Oryctolagus cuniculus: one gene and its partners. The protein of the gene in region 1 interacts with the protein of each later gene in a biochemical or structural test. Links are inferred from orthologs where the notes say so. Each region holds a gene or a part of one and is shown on either strand. Other genes may lie near its edges. The genes, in order: CUL3, DCUN1D3, PEF1 and DCUN1D4.

Region 1 (3,563 bases):
CACTGAGAAAGTAGCAGATAATGTCCCAAATACTTCAGTTCCTGCCACTCATACTGGATACTCAAACGGAGTTCTGGGCTCTTGGCTTCACACTGGCCCAGCCCTGGTTGCCGCCGGTATAGGGAGAGTGCACCAGCAGATGGAAGATCGCGCTCTCTCTCTCTGCCTTTCAAATAATGAATATACAAATGTTACGCCTTTTAAAAATAGGTGTTAAAATTGCAATAGCTATTTATGAATATGTAAAATAGTAAATTTGACATAAATACCTCTAACAAAATAGTTGCCCACTTGAGTATTTTGTGTTGTTATAAATTTTATTTAGATATTGCATGTTGTATGAGATACTTTCACTGTACTCATTTAAATGTATGAGGTAGTAGAGAATGGAAAAGTTAATGAAAAATATTTGAAATTCAAAAATCAAGTATCATTATTTCTATATACACTTAATAAGACAATAAAAAGATACCATTTGAACTTAATTTCATAGTGCTGTCTGCATCTAATAATCCAACTTTATCTTCCATTCACAGTGACAAAGTTGTCTTTTACTTTCTGATTTATGAGAATTTGGCTTCATAATGATGAAGTTGTGTCTCTGATATTCTTTCAACATACTGCTCAAGAGCAGGGCCTACCACAATTAAGACATTTCACAATTAGGTTTCCAGCAGCAGTTCAAATAAATTGAAGGCAAAATTGAAAAATTTAATTTAGAGTCACAAATACTTGCTGAAAACATTAAGTAAGTATGTTAGGCATAATTAATACCTTTAACACAAGTCTCCATGCAGGTTATAGAGATGGTATTAATTCAGGAATATCCCAACAATCTCTTCATCAAACATTTCCTAGCCCTAATCTTTTGAGTATTTAATCACCTCTCCCCACACATTCTAAAGGTAAGCAGGAAAGCACTAAATCAATCCTTGAATAGTACATCAGTTAATATAGACAATCATTCTCACTTTTCATAAAGTCCTACTCAGCCAGGGCTCATCAAATTACAGCCTGTGGACTGAATACAGGCTGGCACTTATTTTTGATCAGCTCATAAATTAAAAATGGTTTTCACATTTTTTAATGGTTGCAGAAAATATTAAAAGAAAAATATTTAGTGACATCTGAAAATCCAATAGTTTTATACGGACACAGTCAAGCATATTCATTTGAGTTACTGTCTAAGGCTACATCCTCACTATGACAGCAGAGATGAGTAATTGAATGTATAGCCTCGGAGCCTAAAATATTGACTAGCTTGTCCTTTACCAAAAGAACTTCACCTATCCCCGGTTTAAACGTTACAAGAGTACCTTATTTTATAAAACATGGCAAACAAACTAAAACATGATTTTTGTTTTGTTTTTTTGCTTTTACCAAACAAGTTTATCAGACAAATCCTATTAGAAGTTTCTGATTTAATATCTTTTATTAAGATATTTAATTTAATAAAATTTAATAAAAACAACAAAGTTACATACAACTTTTATGAATTTGTCACATATACAGAAATGTAACCATTAAAAAACACAAGGCAAGAATTTCACTAGTAAAAATAGATGGGCCAGCGCTGCGGCTCACTAGGCTAATCCTCCGCCTTGCGGTGCCGGCACACTGAGTTCCAGTCCCGGTCGGGGCACCGGATTCTGTCCCAGTTGCCCCTCTTCCAGGCCAGCTCTCTGCTGTGGCCCGGGAGTGCAGTGGAGGATGGCGCAAGTCCTTGGGCCCTGCACCCCATGGGAGACCAGGAGAAGTACCTGGCTCCTGCCATCGGATCAGCACGGTGCGCCGGCCGCGGCGGCCATTGGAGGGTGAACCAATGGCAAAAAAAGAAGACCTTTCTCTCTGTCTCTCTCTCTCACTGTCCACTCTGCCTGTCAAAAAAAAAAAAAAAAAAAAAAAAAAAGATGAGTAATCCCCTCCTCCTATCAGTTTTCTTTTCCTTTCTTATGCACCTTCCTCCCTTTGCAACTCTTCTTTGAAAAACTGTTTCCTGGATAGGTGGTTAGCCGAGTGGTTAAGATGCCAGCTGGCATGCCCATATCTGGGTTCTGGCTCTCAGTTCCAATTCTAGCTAAAATGTACTCTAGAAGTAGCAGGTAATGAATGGCTCAACTAATTGGGTTCCTGCAAATGATGTTGGAGACCTAGATTGATTTCCCGGTTCCCAATTCAGGCCAGGCTCAGCTCCTGCAAGTTTGGACATCTGGGGATCAGCAGGAAGGGGGCATTCTCTCTGCCTCTCACATAAAGATGTTTTTCATTCCCTGCTTCTTAGGTCATGAACCCAATAGGAAACATGTATTTCCTTTAGTAAGGATAAATGGCTAAGTTATTGCTAAGATTTCATCAAGGAAAGAAAGCAAGAATAAATCATGCTTACTTATGTTTATTACCATTATCAGTAGTTTAGAAAGTGAAAAATTTAAATTTTAGAAGAATGAGATCCTTTGATTGTTGTTGTTCTACTTCTAATATTTCTCCTAGGCTGCTCAATATTTTTTTTTTTAAACAGGAAGAAAAAAGCCCTAAAGAATAAATGTTACAATTAGGTCAAAAATGCTTACCTTTAATTTCTGTAATTTCTACTCCTTTTCTACCAGTCTATCACTTCAGAGTTCCTCCAAACCAATCTATTAGTTTTCCTAAATATGTCAGTATTTTTATTTAGCTTCACCTTCAATAATTTAGTTGGTTTGAAATTGTAAAGTTTCAAGTTTTCATTAATAGGAAATTACAAGTCAACAAGTACTAACAACATTTGAGAAATATGTATAATGGAATCACACATATCCCTGTATGTATTTTACTAATAATTTAAAAAAACTTATTTTTACATTTTGGCTCACTTATCAAAATTAAGTTCCACAGAAAATCCTACAGAAATTTTAAAATGTGGATTTCAGATTTTAAAAGAATCACAAAAACTTGAGAGTACATGGGCATAGTAAGTAGCCAAATCCACCACTATATAAAAATAAAATACAGAAATGAATAAGGAGCTCAACTACGAGTCACATCAATATTATTAAACCTCTTACTGTCCACATAAGAAAAACAAAGTGAGGAGACTTGAGGGATAGGAGAAAAAGAAAAGTCATTCAATTCACTAGAACTACCTAAAATTGTAAAAAAGAAAGTAACAAGGTAATAAATTAATGACACAAACCACAACTTCCTGAAAACCGACATTTATAATCTACTTTAATTGCAGAAGAATAAAAAAATTGATAGGTCATATATGAATTTAACTGATTTTCAACTGGTAACACACCTACCTTCTGTCTTTCCATTTTTCAACATATGGACTAGACCAGAATTCTCCATTTCTACTATAGTCTTCATGTGCTTGGAAATGAGTTCCCTCTCAACCACTTTTACAATTGGTTCTTCAGTTGATTTGTCAAGGCAGTGCATCACCCGTTCTATTTCTTCATTAATTCTAGCTTCTACTTTCTTTATATATACGGAAGCACTGTTCTCTGCTAAAAATTTCTGGCTTTCCATCTGTAATTAATAAGAATGATTTTTTTTCCTTTAAAATGCAGAAGGTATTTATT
Region 2 (4,299 bases), on another chromosome or scaffold:
GGTGCAGCATGTTCATGGATAAATTCAACATGAAATGCAGTAGGTCAAAGAAGGAATGAGCAAGAAGTGAGGGAAATAAGGGTTTTGGATAAATTAGCTTAAAAGGGAAGTTATCACCAGACTACACAAACGCTCTTGACTGGCCTCAGCTCCCCAAGAGCTCTAAACTTGTCTGGAAATTAATGCAATGTGGTTAACAGTTAACACTGCTACTCAAAATCTGTGTAAATCTTTAAAAATAATTATTACAACCTAAATTCAACCATGTAAACAGCACTACACACAGTACAGACCTGCCCTGAAAAACAGTATGCAAAACTGAGATCTGGCACTGTATCATTTTGTAATGTTAATTCAACCGAACAGTCCCATTCCCCCCACCCGGCTCTATACTGGCCCCCACCAAAAAAAAAAAAAAAAATCATCCAATTTGTGCAAGAAATGGCAGACTTATTCTATCTGAAGGCTTCAAAAAAAGATACACAACATGTAGCCAGGTTCAAATATTTTGGGGGATTACCCCCCCCAAAAAAAAGAAATAACCAAAATAACCAAAAAATGAAGAAAGTGCCTAAAACATGATACAGCATTTTAGAGCCCTTTCAGATACAAGGCAGAGAAAGGTGTAAAGTAGAAAATATCCGGATCTTCAGTAATTTCCAGAAAGGTCCAATTCCTTGGTTGGCTGCAGGACAGCAGGCAGCTCTTTGCTGCTGCTCCTGGGACAGAGCCACTAAGTCTGCTCCTCGGGACACAAGCCCTCGGGCCCTGAGCTGAGTGCACCTCTCCCTTCCCCTTCTCTTTTCCTTCGCTCCATTTCCCACTCCACAAAGGTATCAAAGAGACTTGGCCAGGCCTCATCTTCACTGTAGTTGCTGAGGTCGGGGCCAATCACCTGAGTGAAGTTAAGGAACATGTTCCAAGTGTCCCGGGAGATGCCCTTGATCCCCGAGGGGTTCTCTGTTAGGAAGTTTAGCCACTGGTCCAATACTGGAGGGTTGTTTTGAGTGAAGACTAGTTTCCACAGGGCAATGGCTATTTCCCGATGCAGTGACCGCTGCCCTTCTTCAGAGTCCAGGCCAAACTGAAATGTAAACCGGTAGAGATCCTTGAATTTATCCTCCTGTTTGGCTTCTGTTAAGAGGCTAGGGAACCGCGCACAGATCCCGTCAATGCTGTCTGCACTTATTGCCTTGCAGCCATCGAAAAACTCCTTCCTGCAACAGAAAGAAGGCACAAATTAGTTATAACCGATATTATTTACCGAGGGCAACAGAGTATAGTAATCAAGAGTATGGCATTGAGGCAGGATGGCCTGGATCAAATGCCAGCTCCTGCACTAAGTAGTCCTCCTTCCTCATCTGCCAAGTGGTGAGTAAATGTTACACCTCACCTTGCAGGGTTCTGGTGAGGGGTAAACACGTTAGCACGAGTACCGAGTGTTTCCAACACTGCCAAGCACACGGCAGGCAGCTAGTCCCCTGCCTCCTGCTGGGTCTGCTGCCCTGCACTGGTGATGAGGTTGCAGCCTCTTTCTCCTCGATGGAGAAGCCTTCCTGCCTCCCTTTCGATTCTCTCTGGGTTGTTTTGGTATCTTTCTGGTGACAGCCAAGAGACACTTCTGGAGCCCGAGAGGCAGGATAAAATTTAAGTCTGCCACCAGAGATAAAAACTGTGCTATTAAATAACAAAACTTGCGTACACATATTTAACATCTTTGTAACACTTCCAGCTGACAGCACGGTTTCCTCTCTGGGACTGCTGTACCCACCAAGATTAGGGAGTCCAGGTCTGGAGGGTAAGCTACCTGGGGGCATATAGACTAGAAATGGCTTGGCCAGGTCTCATAACCTGCGCTCAGCAAACCACCCCTTGGGGTGACCCTGTCACGTCTTCACCCACAAGCAACTTCTACAGGGATATAAGACCACAACGACATGAAACTGCTGCTTGATAACTGGGCCACCTGTCCTTGTTTCATACAGGTCTGGCTGAGGGCAATACGGTAAGGATGAGAAGGGACAACTGGGCTCACGGAGTGGCAGAGGCACATCCCTGGAGGTTCTCACTGTACTGGCACACACAGCACCTGCCACAGGACGGACAGTGAATTCTCAAGTACCTCAAGATTCCTATTGAGTGGGTCTGCTACAGAGTCAGGCACTTACTTTTTTAAACCCTCAGAGGAGTCTTGGGAGGGAGGTGGCAGGGGGAGGCCTTCTCTGGATCAGGAACACAACTTAGCTCAAAACATCTGCTTTTGAGAAACTGGTCAGAGCACAAGGATTTTCCCTTCCCCAAACCCCATGCAGCTGACCCAGTTATCCTAGCTGAGCACTCCTGCACAACATTGCTCCGTTTCCTCCTCTGCTCACCTGGTAACATGAAGTATTTGTAACTAACCTGGTGAATTTGCACATGGTAGCAGCCTGGAACTTCCAAGCCAAGAGCAGCACTCGAAATTCCGTGGGGTCGACACATAGGTCATTGCAAAAGCGTTCCATGCCTTCTTCCAAAATTGCATCCTCCCGCTCGTCCTTGTAGCGCCTGAACAGTTCTTCCAACCTCTGCAAGGAAGACTCTTCAGCATTGGACTTGGACTCCCTCCCAGCATCTCCCGAGGACGTTGGCAACTGGCAGACCTCAGTGGCAGCCTCCGCCTTCTTGGTCCCATTGACGAGGATATCCCCACCTGGCTTGCCACAAGGTGGCACCTGTTCCTCACGGTGGCCTGCACTTCGCCTGCTGTGTGATTTGCTGCTGGAGTCCCGGTCTCCATTCTTGCTGCCCAAGGTTGATGAGGGATTCTTGCACTTGGTGACACACTGGCCCATGGTGCTGGCGGCCTGGCCTCTAAAGTGGCCCCCTCTGGAATGGATGCCCTCGCTGCCGCTGGCCCATGTACTTCAACATGCCATCAGCCAGAGGAACCAGCCAACCTGGGAGGAAATTGGAAAGCAGTCACCTCTTGAACACAGAACACAGGGCATGGGCGGGGGCACCACCCTCTGGGGACTGCTTCCTGGGGATCACTGCGTTTCAATGAGCCAACAAGGAATGAAGGGAGATCACCTCCCTGATAAGCCAGCTCTGTAACTTGCCTTGGAAAAGCAGTGGCTATGGCACATATGGAAAACCAATATGGGAAATTCCTAAAATTCTTAAGGTAACAGGTTACAAAGAAGCTGATTCATGTGCAGAACACATCAAAGACCACAGTTCTGCCAAATATTCCAGAGGAAATCTGTCTTGCCAATTCATCATCATGCAAAAAATTTATGTGGACCTGGATTAAGCCAGAGGGTACAAATATAAGGTTTATTTTCTAGTTTTTAACACCGTCACACTCAGATTTTCTTTTTCCATACATGGGATTAATAGAGGGAGGGAGTGGCCATACCCAAAACAACTATAGGGTCTCACAATAGCTTAACAATGAGGTAAGGGATTTGCAGTGTCAGGCCTGCGAACAAGGGCAGAACCAAACATCAAAGTAAAGTTCATCCCTGATCTCTCCAGATCCCTTTCTGGGCCTATCCCACATAGCAGGTGTAAGGCCCTTTCTTTGCTCAGCTACGGAAGCCATTCACCATCCCTGTACTCCAAGCAAAGTCTCCTAACCTAGGAGCTTTTTTTTTTTTTATTCCCTCCCTTTTATGTCTTTAGTGAGGCTGTACAGAATGCATGCCAAGTTCTCATTAAACATGACAGTCCTAGCAGGCTTCTAATGGGGTATGTGTCTCTGCTCTAAAGGACTGATTTGTCTAAATACGATCTTCTAAAAATGGTAGGATATGGGGGCAGGAATTGTGATGCAAAAGGATAAGCCACTGCTTGGGATGCTCACATGCCGTCCTGGAGTCCTAGCTACTCAGTTTCTGACCCAGCCTCCTGCTCCTGCATCTTGGGAGGCAGCAGATGATGGCCCCAGTGCTTGGGGCCCTGCCACCCCCATCGGAAAGGGACCTAAAGGGAATGTAATTTCTCTGAGACTACCCTGTCTATCCAGGGCTCCTTTTTTTCTTACGTGTTTATTTTTATCTACTTAAATGGCAACAGAGACAGAGACACAGAGATCTTTCTTGTGCTGGTTCACTCCCCAAATGCCCACAACAACTATGCTGGGCCAGGCCAAAGCCAGGAACCTAGAAGTCCATCCAGGTCTCTCCATGGGTGGAAAGAGCCCAAGCACTTAAGCCTCCCAGGCACTTAGGCTGCCTCCCAGGATGCATTAGGAGGAAGCTGGATCAGAAGCAGAGATCCTAGGACTCAGAACTGGCACTCTGCCCTGGGATCCAG
Region 3 (4,179 bases), on another chromosome or scaffold:
TCCCATTTACCACTGATCACTCCGATTCTACGTAGGATTTACATGTCTGCATTACTCTCCCACTTGGAGGATTTCTACACATTGTTCTTTGCACACCTATCCAGCAGTTCACTACGGGCAGAGCCCAGGGAGTGTGGCATAACAGCAACTGCGGCACCAAGAGCTACCACTATGCATTGGCATTTGCTGTGTACCAACAACGTGGCAAGCTCCCTTACATAGGTGTCATTACATTTCATCCTCATTTCAGCCCTTTTAACAGGTTTCCAGCTTGCACAAGATGCAGGCGGGACAGCCACCAACTGAGGCGGAATCTGGGCTGTGGGGAAGTCGGGGGAAGACAGTGAGAGGACTCCCAGGGTCACTGCATTGTTAGCGAAGGTCTGATCAGGTATTAGCACAGCTCCTGTTCCTCTTTATAGCTGAAGACACTGCGGCTCAGAGTCTAGCTTGTCTAAGGCACATGGTAATTAAGAGTCCAGCCCGGGAGCCGCCGCCTGCAGAGCTGGCATCCCATGTGGACGCCGGTTCGAGTCCTGGCTGCTCCACTTCCAATCCAGCTCTCTGACCTGGGAAAGCAGTGGAGGATGGCTCAAGTCCTTGGACCCCTGCACCCACCTGGGAGACTTGGAGGAAGCTCCTGGCTCCTGGCTTCAGATCGGCTCAGCTCTGGCTGTTGTAGCCATTTGGGGAGTGAACCAGCGGATGGAAGACACCTCTCCTCTCTCTCTCTCTCTCTGCTTTCTGTAACCTTGCCTTTCAAATAAATAAATCTTTAAAAAAAGAAAAAAAAAAGAGTCTAGCCCAGCTCTGCCTAACCTGTCGTTGCTCCTTAGCTGCATACAAAACCACCCCTAAAGCTTATTAAAATGCAGTTTCCTGGGCCATTTTTGGGCCTAGAACATGTCAGAGATGGGACCCAAAAGTGTATTTTTAACAAGCTCTCTGGTGATTCCGATGCTTAGGACCAGCCACTGAGAAACAACACACTGTGGCCATGATTTCCCAGTCTGTGTTACTCGGGAATCCTAACGTCACCACAAAAATGACCAGTTTTTTTAAAAGGCAGTTAAGCCGCGGCTTGGGACACCTGTGTCCCATGTGGAAGGGCCTAGTTGGATCCTGGCTGCTCTGCTCCCCAGCCAGCTTCCTGCTGAGGTGCACCCTGGGAGGGTGCAGATGATGGCTCAAGTACCTGGGTCCCTGTCACCCACATGGGAGAGACCCAGATCAAATTCTGGGCTCCTGGCTTTGGCCCCACACAGCCTTGGTTGTCATACACATTTGAGGGGTGAGCCAGCAGATGGAAAATGTCTCTCTCTCTGCTTTTGCAATAAAACAACTTTAAAAAATTCTGAAGTTCTCCATGAACAAACTTACTTGACCCTAGGATCCTCCTCTAATGGCAATTATCTACTGGACCCCACAACTCAGCAATGGAACGAGTTTGGGAAACACTATTCCATTCTACTTCCTCCTGCCCCCAGCCCTCACTGGTCCCTCTCCTCCCTACCTGTGCCAATCCAGCAATGAATGGGGTTCTAAGCTCCAGCCCTGGCCTCACTGGCTGGGTGTGACCTCTGTCAAGCCACCTGACTTCTTCCCTCAGCTGGGGGGGGGGGGAGTAACCCGAGTAACCCCTGCTTGCCTCCGGGGCGTCCACCCCTGGAAAACGGGGCTCCAGACGCTGTGTCAACAGCACAAGGCTGCTCTCCCGGGAAGGACTGGCACCGCATCTTTAGGCACGTGACCAAACTACACTCCGTCTGGTGCTCTGTAATATCCCATCTGGTCACCGTCTGATGTTTCCTGATGTGCAACCGTGGACAATGCAGGGCCCTCTCTGGGTTTCAGCCTCCTCTGTAAAACGAGGGGGCCATTTTGGGGGCCCTCCTAGCACTGAGCTTTTAGGAGTCTGGTGCCCCCCGCTTCACAAGCCTCGCCTGGGTCTAACAGCTCCATGACTCGGCGTCTGAGCCGGCGCTGTTCTAGAGAGGGCACTTCGCTTGGAGAGACAAAACACCTTGCTCAAGGGCTCAAGACTACTGATGGAGCCTGGGGCAGACCCTCCTCTGACTCCAAACTGCACTTAATCACCTCCTATTCTGTCACCCACATAGAGCTCTGGCCACGGCCAGCCCGGCCCGGCGGACCTCAGCTCTGCTACCTAAACCGCCCGCCGCCGTCGGGGCTTCACTCTCCCTGCGGAAAATGGACGTGTTACACAGCAGTCAAACCAGCTCAACCACAGAACCCCGATTAGTCTCCAGCACTGCGTGTGGGCTGGGTCCGGACACCTGCTGCTTCCCCACCCCACGCCCCAGATGATGCCAGAGGAAACAGAGCTCCGCTGAAGAGCCCGCCCGGGTTCCCCGCGAGGGCCTCGGGGCCTGAGGGAGCGCGCAGAGCCCAGGCGGGGTCCAAGGCCTCCAAATTCTCGCAGGCGCGACGTCAGAGGGGGCGCGACAAGACAGCCCACTCGCGCTGTCCCGTATGACGTGAGCCGGGTGCGACCGACCGTGCCTTTCCCCTTCCCTCTCGCGCGAAGCTTCGCTGAAGCGAACTTTCAGCGTGGAAAGCACGCGGTGAAAGCCGGGGGAAGAAGAGCTGAGGAGACCCCCAGTTTGGGCCTGGCACGGCCCCTATCTGCACTCACCAACCCCTCACACACTCACCTGCCCGTACGGATAGCTCGCCATGGCGACTCTGACGTCACACGTCAACGAGGGGCGGGGCTTCATGCTCTCAAACCCGCCCTTTGCGTAAACCGGGGGGCGGACCCGCTTTTCAGTGGACGCCCGTGACTGTCAATCCTAAATATGTTGGCCGACGGAAGTGACGCTACAGGGTGGGGGCCTTCTTCCCGCCTGACCAGAGGAGCTTAGCTCTGGGCGGAGGTTTCCGGAAGTTTTGGCAGCTGTCTTGGCATGTGTGTTCCTCTCTTTCCTGACCTGGAGTAGGCTCCAGGGCTGGTGAGGCCCGAGTATTTAGTGAGAAAATCCGGGTTCTGTGTAGCTGCGGTGGCCATATTATAACCTGGAAAAGGGGACGCATGATAGTGGCGTAGTTGCTGTCGTCACGCCAAGTTTCCGCCTAGCTGGGACGACTGTTGCCATGACGACGGGGGACTGCTTGCGGCCTCCTGGAAGGGACAGGCGATGGTGGAATCACTGCTCTAAGGCACCAGGTGACGGTAGCCGTGGAGTGGTGTAAAATCTGAGGTTTTTGGGAGAAGAAAGTGTTTTTTTACCCAGAAACCTTTTGTTTAAGGTATACAAACTTTCTGCGTTTCATAAATACGACTTTAGGAACATACTGATTCTTCCCACCTGCACTGCCACCCTTCCTATTCCTCCCACTCCTGTTCCCATTCTTATTTTCCACTAAGATCTATTCTCAGTTTTTTAAAGATTTATTTATTTATTTGAAATTTAGAGCTACCCAGAGAGAGAGGAAGAGGCAGAGAGAGAGAGAGAGAGGTCTTCCATCCGCTGGTTCACTCCCCAACTGGCCGCAACGGCTGGAGCTGAGCCGATCCAAAGCCAGGAGCCTCCCTCGGGTCTCCCACGCCGGTGCAGGGGCCCAAGAAGTTGGGCCATCTTCCACTGCTTTGCCAGGCCACAGCAGAGAGATTGGAAGTAGAGCAGCTGGGACTCCAACCAGTGCCCACATGGGATGCCGGCATCGCAGGCAGCAGCTTTTTACCAACTACACCACAGCGCCAGCCCCCTCTCAATAAACTTTGTACACACAAGATTAGCTACACTAAGTAAAGAGTTCAACAGATAGTATGAAAAAAAAAAAAAAAAAAAACTCTTCCTCAACAGTCGAGACAAGGGCTGTCCAAAGTCATCGCATCTCAAAGTGCCAATTTCACCTGTATCGACTACCTTTTAGGTACAGAAGAAAATATTAAACCGCAGGGTTGGCAGAAAATAAGATTATCCCATGCCCTTTGTCTTCATAAATGAGGAAACTGCTCCTGAGAGGCAGCGATTTGCCCTCGTTTGCTGTGGGTTCCTGGTACGGAGCCTGGCACTGAGTTTTTAGTAAATAACGAGTAGGTTGGTGTTCTGAATTGTAATCCAGTGCAGCCCATCTATCTAACCGCGTAGCCGGGCACTTCCTAAAACCATGGCACTGACCATGCTCCTTGCCCGCTGGACAGCTTGCAGTGGG
Region 4 (3,563 bases), on another chromosome or scaffold:
ATCCTTATATCATTATAAATTTAGAAATAAAATCTGGAGCCAAAAATTTATAAATCCTCACCACTGAGATCAAGAAATATCATAAAATAATACAGGTACATAAAAAGCCCAGAGAGTTACCAATGATTTTAAGGATGCAAACACAAGAAAAGCAGAAATCAAAAAATTACTGTTTCTTTTTTAGCTTTCTATGCACCTAAAAATAAAAACCAGTCTTAAAATAGTTGACAATGCTCCCAGAATTGTGCAAAGTCAAATTGGCAATGTCTTTCGGCTAAAGAAACCTTTACACTCAGGCTCAGGTCCTGCTGTGCTTGCTGAGAACAAGAACCGAGTCCATTTATTTTCTGAATGGTGCTAATTTATCTCATAGGGTTGTCTGAGAAATTAGAACAAGCCATACAAGAATGTACATATGAACTAGTGTGTAAACAAATGTTTCTTACATTAAGACCAACTTTAATAACAGTCCTCAAAGAACGGTATCTGTTGCTAAGCTTTTCTGGACCATTACACAAAGTAAGTCGCAAGAAGGATGACTTCAAGAGGGAAGCTGGAGCCAAGGGAAGGCCCTGGACTTTCTCAGAGACCCAGCACCCACATCTCTGCAGGCTGAGGGCATTTTTTTTTTTTAAAAAAAAAAAAAAGGGCTTAGCCAAGATACATGACAACCCAAGTAATTCCAGTCTGTATCTCAGATCCCTCCAGATCCTGCATGATGACATTTCAACAACAACCAGAATATTCAGTCACCAATACTTCAACAAAACACAATGATGGTGTAAGGTAATGGATTCTTTCTGATACAAAGCTGAAGAAAAGTTAAACCAAAGGAGATACTGTCAGTTTGCCTAGGACTAGACTGAGCTAAGGTCCTTAGAGATAAAAGTAGACAAGAAGTGACAACAAACTGATTTTAGTAAGAAGGCAGATGACTGTTTTTTTAACCTTTACTTAATAAAAGTGGAAGTTCCTCCAAAAGAAAGCCGGTCTTCTCCATTGTTATAAGGAGCAGGAAATCTAAACAAAATGAAGCTTTTAAAATGGAGATGAGAAAGGAGAGGAAAGGACAGAGCTGTGGCCATTTCTGACATATCTGTAACGTGGAGTGATGCAACACAGTGTTACACGCATACACAAATGCGCTCCGAGAAGAGAGGTCATTGCTGAATGACAGCAAGTTTGTCACCAGAATTCCTACAGGCAGAAAGCACAACAAACAAAAACATTACATAAAATGGTTAAAGTATATTTGGTAGTTCTAAGCAAGCAAACATACATTTCATAAAATAACAATTTGGTACCTCTAAGAATTGGTGAAAAACTGGAAAAAGGGGCCAGATTTTTCCTAATAACAGTCCCAACATGCACTTGGCAGTGTTTATGTCTAGGCTGCGCTGGTCCTTTTCCTGTTTAACAAACAAAAACAAGGATGAGCCAGATGCCCCCAAAATAACAAATTCCAATCATCCAAATTTGTATTTCACTTCAACAAGAAATTAGTAAACAGCTCATTTACCATATAACCACAAAAACCCTGATTCAAAAGCTAAGGCGGGGGAGGGAAGGCAGTCAAACATGGCGGAAGGCTTGAACGTGTCAGTACTATATAAATTATAAATTTACTGTAAGAAACTCATGTCTACTGAATGATGATCCTGATGCAAAATCACTGAGTTATGTAGTACCAGTACTCATTTCCCAAGAAAAATAAAAATCTGTAACTCGATAGCTTGACTTGACATTTGTAATTATAAAATCACAATTGTTGATCTTAAAGCCTATAACTTAATTTAAAGGTTTTGATTTGCATGCTTAGGAATCAGGTTTCCTTCAAAAACAAATCATTTTTTCCAATAGTTTTACCTTATGAGGTAAATTTTTGTTCATACCTAAGCATGCTAGAATTAAATTGTTAATAATCGTTGGGGCTTTGAGGCTCCCCTATCAAAGGATGTGTTCATCCACAGGCTCCGGGGCAAGTAGGATGTCTGCCTATAAAGCCCTGCTTACCTTGGAGTTCTCAGACTTGAATCTCCTAACCAAATACCCCCAAACTAGTAAACAAGCAAAGGACAATATTTCCTAGGAAACCAGAAGAGAGAGTACACAAACCTAGATTACGTTTAGTCCATTTACATTTGCAGTTAACGATCCTGATTCCTCATTCTCATCTTTCTTACAAGTTTCCATTCTGGAACCACAAGGGGGTAGTTTCTATGGAAAGGGATGGAGGGCCTGGGACTAGTGGTAGTAACCTTACAAAGCTGGCCACCACATGGTTTCTTAATAAGAGAGAAAATATGTAAACATATTTTTTGACAAAGGGAGAAAGTGCCTGGCTACCCCACAGGAGTTGAATCTAAATATTCACCAAAGTAAGGGACGATGCTGTGGCATGCAACTACATGTCCCTTCAGGTAGAATTAACTGTCACCTCAAGGACTCAAACAGTGAAATGCTCTTCAGTATACAAAGAATTTGAGGCATGCCACTGACTTTAAAAGTGAAGAAACAATACAGCCAATGTAAGGGCCTTAGTCAATAACAGCACACAAGGGAGATGAAGACACAGAGACGTGCTACTTAACGGAGATGTGCAGTAGATCTGAGTTTTGGTCCCAGTCATAAAGTGTGACCACTGTTCACAAAGAGAAGAGGTCAGGTGGCTCCAAGTCACCCTTCTCTGCTGACAGGCAGCTGAAGTCTCAAGATGGCAGGGATGCTGTAGTTCCCCAGTTTACGCAAGTAAGTGGGGCCTCCTCTCCAAGGCATTCTCCACCCATCCCTTGGCCATGCAGACTGCCTGTTCTGGGGTGCATTTATTACTAGTGGAGAAGAGGACAGTAGAAGAGGCGCTCTAGAGATTGCCTGCCTTTTGCCAATCAAGCCTCATTGGTTAGTTGAGTTTCAAGGCCTTATACTTCAGTGATACACTGGGCAAGCAAATGGCAACTTCCTCTTACTCCATAACACAGGTGCGGCAGACGGCATTAGCATACTATCCTATGAAGCAATCTACAAGAAAAACTGTTAGGAAACACAAGCAGCACCACAGGACCAGGCCACGTCCATTTGTCAACACAAGAGCTCGTGCAGCGTGGGGCTGACAGCACTGGCCCTCTGGAAAAGTTTTCCCTGGGGAGAGTTTGTACTCAAGTCACTGAAGCCCAATCTCTAGTCTTGCTTTGATAAGTACTGTGTCTTCTTCCATCATCATCATCATCATCAACTCCTATGTCCCCGTCACAGTGGACATACACTAAGGTGACAAAAAAGAAAAAAAGATACAAAGGAGCTGGACAGACTCTTCGCAACAATATAACCATCCAACAAACTGATGACGATCATGAAGGATTTCAACGTATGTGTTTGGCAGCGGTGCCAAAACATGGAGGAAAGGATCAGACTCACAGGACCGGAAAGCTGAGCAGCACTCACTTACTCCTGCTCTGCAAGGGTGCCAGCCAGCAGCTCGCAATCACTAACACCATCTTCTGCCTAGCAAATAAGAGAAAGACATTATGGATGCACTCACAGTCTGAACAGTGGCAACTCCCTGA

The links.
Region 2: the proteins of CUL3 (region 1) and DCUN1D3 form a complex in vitro, tested with the Homo sapiens proteins (3 studies listed by BioGRID, with this or other methods). The link is inferred for Oryctolagus cuniculus from reciprocal best matches to the Homo sapiens genes CUL3 and DCUN1D3.
Region 3: the proteins of CUL3 (region 1) and PEF1 form a complex in vitro, tested with the Homo sapiens proteins (2 studies listed by BioGRID). The link is inferred for Oryctolagus cuniculus from reciprocal best matches to the Homo sapiens genes CUL3 and PEF1.
Region 4: the proteins of CUL3 (region 1) and DCUN1D4 form a complex in vitro, tested with the Homo sapiens proteins (2 studies listed by BioGRID, with this or other methods). The link is inferred for Oryctolagus cuniculus from reciprocal best matches to the Homo sapiens genes CUL3 and DCUN1D4.

The regions. Positions count from the first base shown.
Region 1 is NC_091434.1:14,714,508-14,718,070, reverse strand, and holds part of CUL3 (cullin-3), read right to left. Parts: intron 3,511-3,563; coding exon 3,282-3,510; intron 1-3,281. UniProt on the Homo sapiens protein: Core component of multiple cullin-RING-based BCR (BTB-CUL3-RBX1) E3 ubiquitin-protein ligase complexes which mediate the ubiquitination and subsequent proteasomal degradation of target proteins.
Region 2 is NC_091450.1:18,308,808-18,313,106, reverse strand, and holds the start of DCUN1D3 (DCN1-like protein 3), read right to left. Parts: upstream 2,835-4,299; coding exon 2,404-2,834; exon of another isoform or gene 1,996-2,403; coding exon of another isoform or gene 1,986-1,995; exon of another isoform or gene 1,218-1,985; coding exon 734-1,217; 3' UTR 1-733. UniProt on the Homo sapiens protein: Contributes to the neddylation of all cullins by transferring NEDD8 from N-terminally acetylated NEDD8-conjugating E2s enzyme to different cullin C-terminal domain-RBX complexes and may play a role in the cell cycle progression by regulating the SCF ubiquitin E3 ligase complex, after UV damage.
Region 3 is NC_091438.1:140,775,605-140,779,783, reverse strand, and holds the start of PEF1 (peflin), read right to left. Parts: upstream 2,846-4,179; 5' UTR 2,742-2,845; coding exon 2,676-2,741; intron 1-2,675. UniProt on the Homo sapiens protein: Calcium-binding protein that acts as an adapter that bridges unrelated proteins or stabilizes weak protein-protein complexes in response to calcium.
Region 4 is NC_091433.1:42,285,335-42,288,897, reverse strand, and holds part of DCUN1D4 (DCN1-like protein 4), read right to left. Parts: intron 3,502-3,563; exon of another isoform or gene 3,446-3,501; intron 1,410-3,445; coding exon 1,305-1,409; intron 1-1,304. UniProt on the Homo sapiens protein: Contributes to the neddylation of all cullins by transferring NEDD8 from N-terminally acetylated NEDD8-conjugating E2s enzyme to different cullin C-terminal domain-RBX complexes which are necessary for the activation of cullin-RING E3 ubiquitin ligases (CRLs).